Xenopus tropicalis: one gene and its partner. The protein of the gene in region 1 purifies or fractionates together with the protein of each later gene. This does not show direct contact. Links are inferred from orthologs where the notes say so. Each region holds a gene or a part of one and is shown on either strand. Other genes may lie near its edges.

Region 1 (3,822 bases):
GTCAGGGGGCTATAGACAAATTCATTAATAATTATACAGTCAACTGTTAATATTTAATGCACAACTGAAAGTCATATTTGTAATAACATCTGAAATCTATTTTCAGCCTCAAGCTATTTACTGTAAGGATGTCTTGGATATAGAGCAGTTCTCTACAGTAAAGGGCGTTGATCTGGAGCAGACAGACAATGACTTCTACCGAAAATTTGCCACAGGCAATATCTGCATTCCCTGGCAGAATGAGGTGTGTAAGAGACATGCATGGGAGGATGGAATCATTGCTCAGTCAGTGTACAGTGAATCTATATCTATATATGCCTTGTTTAGATGGTGGATACAGACTGTTTTTGGGAGCTAAGCGCACTGCCCACAGATGGAAGCATACCACCTGACCTGGATTGGAGGGGGCTACCATCCCCACAACCCAAAAAGGGACTACTTCAGCGTTTCTTTAGCAGACAGGTAATAATAAAGGGCTTTCGTCTAAAAGAATTCCAGTTAAGGCTGATTATTATTTACATGTATTTATAAAGAACTAACATATCCTATAGAGATGTGCAATAAATAGAGTATAGTATACAGGGAACAAGTGGGCCCTTTTTCAAAAGATCTTACAATCAAAAAGATCTGATTATTTGGCCTTAAGTCCAATGATCAGATCAAACTGTTGACCTGTAAAGACTTGTTGGAATTTTCTGACTTGTGCCAAATGACCTATTTTGGCTCCCAGGACCACCCATCACTGTTCTTTGTACATCAATAGTGCACTTTTTTATCTATAGTTTTAGGAGGGATGCAGATGGGGCAGGTCCTCCACTGTTTTCTGCTGGGCCCTGTGTGCCACTTCTCTAATGTCACATAAAGTAGGAGAACACTTTTAAAGACTGTATAAGTAATAAATGGCATTATAAAAAGGGGTAGTTATGAAAGGAATGTATACCATTAAAGCCAATGTATCTTGGTTTAAGTAAAACTAATAACTAAGCCGCTCATATATTTTAATCTCTCTTGAATTTTAGATTCATTATTTGCTGTTTTCTATGGTAAAACAATGATCATATAGCTTCTCAGCAAGAAAAAAAGACAGCTTATCCTGAACATGCTTTGTAAAGTACTATTGCACAATTTAATTGCACTCTTTGTAGGGGTTATTAACCACTGCTACTGGTGCAAGTACAAAATTACTATAGAGATACATGGAGCACTTATGCCAATGGCAAAGGTTAGTTCAGACTAAGCTTTGCACCTTGAGTGTGATTAATAAATTAGGTGCAAGTTAAAGAGTACGTTGCTGCAAAGGGAACCTGTAATTACATCTCTTCCCAGCACCTTGTAGCCTCTGGCTTTGCACAGGGCTTCCCTTGCTACCCCTCTGTATGCAGCACTGCCCAATACATTGAGGCACCAGTGAGAAGGGGGCAAAAACAAAGTAATTCATATACATTTTTCTGGTGTTTTAATGTAGCTATGAATGTCAACCTCAAGAAGGGAAATCCTGGGAAAATAGTTTAATGTCTAGCCTAGTGTTTTGCTACATTAGTTTTGTGCAACCCCAAATTTCCAGTAAAACTGGTACTCTAGGTTTGCAGAGATCTATTTTCTGTAGTCCCATTTTAATACCGCCAAACATCTCATGTCATCTACCAAAGCTGCCCTTACACAGCAATAAGTGCATCTGTTCTAATGAGGGCTGCTCATTTCCCCGCATCCTGTCAGTATCCTCACTGCCCAGCCCAATATCCCACTGGTACCTTACATCCTCCCAGCAGTGCAGTGCTTTGCCTCAGTCTTTGCAAATTTGCCATCTTAACAGCTAATCTTTGTGTATGCTCAGCTGCCTCCAGGGTGGAGCATCATTGTGAGAGGAACCCTTAAGTTCTGGGGATTTTAACTGCAGAGTTGCACATCTCAGATGTGTCAGGTAAAATGTTTTTCTGTTCTTTCCCTGCTTTTCTGCCCATGCATAATATCAGATTTTGGTTTGTTACACAAAAAGCCTTTTCAGTGTATGTAGAATCTTTCCATTGGTCATTTAAAAAGAACAGTATGAACTGGAAAGACTATAAGAAGGGCATGGGAGCAAAGCCAAATTCAGTTTGTTCAATAGAAATACCTCATTAAAATGTACAGGTATATTGTATGTCAGTGGGACCTTTTTAATCAATTTGGCTGGGAATAGAGGAAAAAAAAATTGTTTTTTTAAGGACTCTTACACACAGAGGCGTTTGCATTTGCCTTAATTGTGTGGTGGATTTTTGTGCTTCTCATCAGATGGCAATGCAGAAGTTGTTTGATTTTAGTCTGTCCAATGCATTCAGTGTTTATGCTTGCTCTCTTGGGTACAGGCCCATATTGGAGGTTTGGATCAGTTAACACCTGCATTGAGGTGGATTGCCCAAAAATCTTACACACTTCAAACACAGGTCCTTAATGCTTTTTATTGATCTGCTGTGTTCAAAGTGGATGGACAGACAGGGCATTCTTGCTATGGACAGGGATTCTTCATATATGTTGAGCTTGGGTTGGTGCAAGACTGTAATAGACAGGAATACCACTTTTAACAATGATTCACAAACCCCCTGACACCCCAGTAAACCATTTGAAAACAAATGAGTCTGTGCAGGTGATATGAAGCAAGATTGATGCTAAGAGGCTGTGACTGGGCTTCTTTCGTTGATGCCTGGAGCCTTTACTGCAATGCTGTTATCAAATCAGTGGAGAGTTTCCTCTGCTGCTTTTAGTGCGTGTTCTACTGAGTGGTAGAACATAGAACCTATTAATTTTTAACACTTTGGCATTGCTTTAAAAAAAATGGATAAAAGAAAATCTAAATATTATATGGGAGAAATTGTGGTTTCTAGGGGGACCTAGAAGTAGTCTGAAGGCCAGTCAGGGGGAGATTGAAATGTGAATGCTTATTTGATATGGCCTGCATTCACATGTCTGTAAATCTTTTGAACGAATTGCCAGCAAAGGTAGGCTTTAACCTTGGAAGTCTGGAAACCTAATTGAATGGAGCATAAATTTTATATAAAGGGTTTGGTTTGAATTTATTGTGATATACTTGCCTGTGGCTAGGCAGGTGTTACTAAGCAGAAATACAGTACAGTTTGTCTGCATCTTTGTAAAAATGTGGTTGACCTTTATCTAAATAGAGCATTTCCTTCAGTGTTACACACAGACAAGCACTGTCAGTGCCTAACGAGTATTGCTTCTCCTGCACTATGATAGGCTCGGGAAGATAAGTAAATAAAAAGAACAAGGAAGAAACAACCTTCCAGTCTTTCTAAATGTCACAGTATATTGGAAAATATTACAACTGTGCAAATAAAGTCTTGGGTACCACATGGCAACAGAACACACTCGGGCATTGCATGGGGAAATGGCGCCCTCTACCACAACCTGACCAAAACCAAATTTCTTTCATCCAGAGGAAACACATTTGTGTTTTGTGTCAATTTCTATCACATCATGCTATAATGGTTTTCCTAAGAACACAATTATGTACTGATGACTAGAACCTTAATAAGAAAGCCGCCACCTGACGCGCGTCCTACACAAACAGTATCAGACACTGCGCCACTCTCTGCTGCAGCAGACTTTGATTCTCCCACATGGAATAGAGCAAATGTTACTTTTAACCACAGGAAAGTATTTTTTTTCTCCTGGATCGTTATAATAAAGTGCAGCTCCGGCCTTCCTTCGGTTCTGAGCAGAATGAGCGAGAGACTTATGTGAGGGCATAGAGTGCTGACACCAGCACGTCCCCTTTAGTGACCTTTCCTGTGAATAGACCTCTCACGGCTCTCTCATGGTTTCTAA
Region 2 (3,661 bases), on another chromosome or scaffold:
CCAGAGATGGTCATTTAAGCCTTTACCAGTGGCCCCTCCTACAACACCCACCCTAAGGGCTTTATGGACTTGGCAAGAAGAAACCAGCAGCACAAACATAATGGCCTTGGGCAACAAGGCACAGGGAGGGGCATTATCATTTTCATATGAGCAGGGGCAGCCAGGCTGAATCATGCTCAGAACAGCACCCTCTCCTGGCTGTAACAAGGAGCTGTGCTCTGATAAACTTCAGGCACACTTTACTGCTGCGCTGCAAGTTGGAGTGATATCCCCCTCCCCCCCAGCAGCCGATCAGCAGAACAATGGGAAGGGAGCAAGATAGCAGCTCCCAGTAGGTATCAGAATAGCACTCAATAGTAAGAAATCCAAGTCCGGCTTGGGACTCCTCCAGTTACATGGGAGTAGGAGAAACAATAGGTTAGCTGAAAGCAGTTCTAATGTGTAGCGCTGGCTGAAAGCTCAGACTCGGGCACAAGGCACTGAGATGGCGCCTACACACCAATATTACAGCTACAAATACATTTGTTGGTTGAAGAATAAAAGGATAAATGACAGAGGGAATTATTTGCTGTGTAACAGTGTTAGAGATACAAAGTGTCCCATAAATATCATGCCAGTATCCCAAGCCTTATAGAAATCCAAGGCTGTAACTACTGCACATAAGGTTTATAGTTGGGGAAACAGCCCTGTAACACAGCATTGTATCCGGTGCAGTCGGCAGCACATAAACAGGAGACAAACTGTTTCACTGTAAAAAGATCTTTATTTTGCGCAACATTTCTCAACTTTACAACAACAAAAAATAAAATAAAGTTCCGTATTGAGGCTCTCGATAGAGAGATGTGTAGGATGGGGGTGGGGTCTCAGCATTCAAGACATCCTGGGGGCGGGGGCACGAGATTCCAGTCAGAGAGATGGGGGCTACCACTCAGCAGATTTGGGGGTGCTACAGATTGAGGTAGCATTGGGCAGAAGTACCTCACCCCCCCAGACTGGCCTGGCGTTTCTATTTGCAAACACCAGCACATTCAATCGCCCCCCCCATGCAAGTGAATGGGAGAAGGCAGCAGGGGGGTCTCTAAAGCTTCCCAGTAAGTACCCCCCGTGCCTCAGGGGGGGCACAGAGGGACACGCCCATTACAATAGTGGCAGAGGGTAGGATTAGAGGGGGGGCCTGTAAGGTGCATTGAGAGAGTCAAACAGACCCCCCCCCCCAGCAGCTGGCTAACAGCGGGCCACTAACTCAGGGCTACCTCAAGCCAAGCTAGCTGCCATACTGCTACAATAACTTACATAACTAACTGCTCAGACTGGAACACAACAAGGGGGGTGCAGAGGAAAGGGTTAAAGTCAGCAGCCATCAGTCTTGAAGCTCCCCCAAATATATTCTATAAGGAGGGAAGTCCATCCCCAGTATCATGTGATATTTAGAGTCCAAGGGAGAAGTCGCCCCCCTACCGAGTTACAGACAGTGCACATACGCGGGTGGGAGGGGGCAGGACGAGCGGGCAGCAAACCGATTAGTCGACTTCCTCCATGCGAGAAGCATCTTCGTCGCCCTCTAGGGGTGGGATCTCGTCTGCCACCGAGGGGGAAGTTTCCTCCACTGTTGCATCGTCATCATCAATACCTGAGAGAGACAAGGGGAAGTTAACCCTAAATGTGGTGGTTTCAGGACCCTACATACAAATCCCCTTTATGGCAGAAGGATTCTGGTAGCCATTCCCATAATGCTCAGCGACACCTACCCAGACCCAGCTTGATCATCCTGTAGATCCTGTTTGAGTGCGTCTGGGGGTCGTCCAGGGAGAAGCCGGATGACAGCAGCGCGGTCTCGAAGAGCAGCACCACCAGGTCCTTCACTGCTTTGTCGTTCTTGTCGGTTTCCGCTTTCTGCCTCAGGGTCTCCACGATGGGGTGCTCGGGGTTGATCTCCAAGTGCTTCTTAGCCATCATGTAGCCCATGGTGGAATTGTCCCGCAGAGCTTGCGCTTTCATGATGCGCTCCATGTTGGCGGTCCAGCCGTAGGTGCTGGTGACGATACAGCAGGGAGAGGAGACGAGTCTGTTGGACACGGTGACCTGCGGGGTAACAAGGGGCAGGTTGGGGGTTAGCAGGACAAGGCTATACTAGGGGAGGGGCAACATTACTTCCTTCTGCCCCATCCTCACCTTCTCTACTTTCTTGTCCAGAATTTCCTTCATCAGTTTGCACAAACTCTCAAATTTGGTCTTGTTCTCTTCCATCATCTTCTTCTCTTCCTCGTCCTCTGGCAGCTCCAGGCCCTCCTTGGTCACAGACACCAGCGTCTTCCCGTCGAACTCCTTCAGCTGCTGCACGCAGTACTCGTCGATGGGCTCAGTCATGTAGACCACCTCGAAGCCACGCTTCCTCACCCGCTCCACGAAGGCGGAGTTGGCCACCTGGTCCTTGCTCTCACCTGCGAGACAGAACAGAGGGGTCACGTGTCAGACTCTTCCTCTAAGCGAGCTGCGGAGAAGTGACCCCAGGGGAAGAGGAATACCCCTCTCTCCCAGGGGAGCCCATAATGGGATATCTTGCTGCAAGGGCCACTTACCAGTTATGTAGTAGATGCTTTTCTGGTTCTCCTTCATACGGGACACATACTCTGTTAGGGAGGCCATCTCGTCGCCTGTCTGGGAAGTGTGGTACCTGAGGAGCTCAGACAGCTTCTTGCGGTTGGTAGAATCCTCGTGGATGCCGAGCTGCAAGGAGAGGTAGGTCAGCAAGAGCCACTGGGACGAACAAGAGCTCCGCCCACTACAGCCCAGGGCACCCTCCTGCACTGCTCACCTTCAGGTTCTTGGAGAAAGCCTCGTAAAACTTCTTGTAGTTCTCCTTGTCCTCGGCCAGCTCGGTGAAGAGCTCCAGGCACTTCTTGACAATGTTCTTGCGGATCACCTTCAGGATCTTGCTCTGCTGCAGCATCTCACGGGAAATGTTCAAGGGCAGATCCTCAGAATCCACCACCCCGCGAATGAAGTCTGGAAGAGAGAAAAGAGTTAGAGGCGGCACAGGGAGAGACTGCCCAAAAGTCCTACATTCAGGATCCATCTGTGGGGCCCTGTGTGCCTACGTGTGTGTGTGCGCAGCTTAGTAGCAGCTACCAAATCCCCTGCCATAGACAATACTGAGAATTCCTTCTGCTAGACACACGTAGAGACAATTATCAGCAAATGATCAACATTGTCTGTTTCTGTAGCTGCTACTAGTAGCTCCGTGTGTCTTCCCCTTATAGATACGCGAGTGCACCAAGAGGCCTGTGCGTAAGAGACAAGGATTCTTGGGCTGAAATACTACAATAGGCAATTAATTGCCCCTGCCCCCCCACACACTTACCTGCCTGCCTGTGTGCCTATGGGTGTGCGTGGGGCCCTGCCTGCCTGTGTCACCACATCAAGCAAAAGATCTACATGCTAGACTGTTAATGAAGCATCTAATGCCAGACTATTGGAAGGCTTTACCCAGCATCCCATCCTATGGGGGGGGGGGGAAGGAGGGGGCCCACTAAGCTTCGGGCCAGTACTTACTCAGATACTCTGGGATCAGCTCGTCGCAGCTATCCATGATGAAGACGCGGCGCACGTACAGCTTGATGTTGTTCTTCTTCTTCTTGTTCTCAAACAGATCAAAGGGGGC

What was found.
Region 2: the proteins of grk6 (region 1) and hsp90ab1 purify together in Homo sapiens (affinity purification with mass spectrometry; 3 studies listed by BioGRID and IntAct, with this or other methods). This does not show direct contact. The link is inferred for Xenopus tropicalis from reciprocal best matches to the Homo sapiens genes GRK6 and HSP90AB1.

Annotation. Positions count from the first base shown.
Region 1 is NC_030679.2:45,795,461-45,799,282, forward strand, and holds part of grk6 (G protein-coupled receptor kinase 6), read left to right. Parts: intron 1-106; coding exon 107-244; intron 245-327; coding exon 328-462; intron 463-3,822.
Region 2 is NC_030681.2:2,231,373-2,235,033, forward strand, and holds the end of hsp90ab1 (heat shock protein HSP 90-beta), read right to left. Parts: coding exon 3,553-3,661; intron 3,007-3,552; coding exon 2,816-3,006; intron 2,728-2,815; coding exon 2,580-2,727; intron 2,442-2,579; coding exon 2,173-2,441; intron 2,083-2,172; coding exon 1,749-2,082; intron 1,631-1,748; coding exon 1,521-1,630; 3' UTR 744-1,520; downstream 1-743. UniProt on the Homo sapiens protein: Molecular chaperone that promotes the maturation, structural maintenance and proper regulation of specific target proteins involved for instance in cell cycle control and signal transduction. Undergoes a functional cycle linked to its ATPase activity.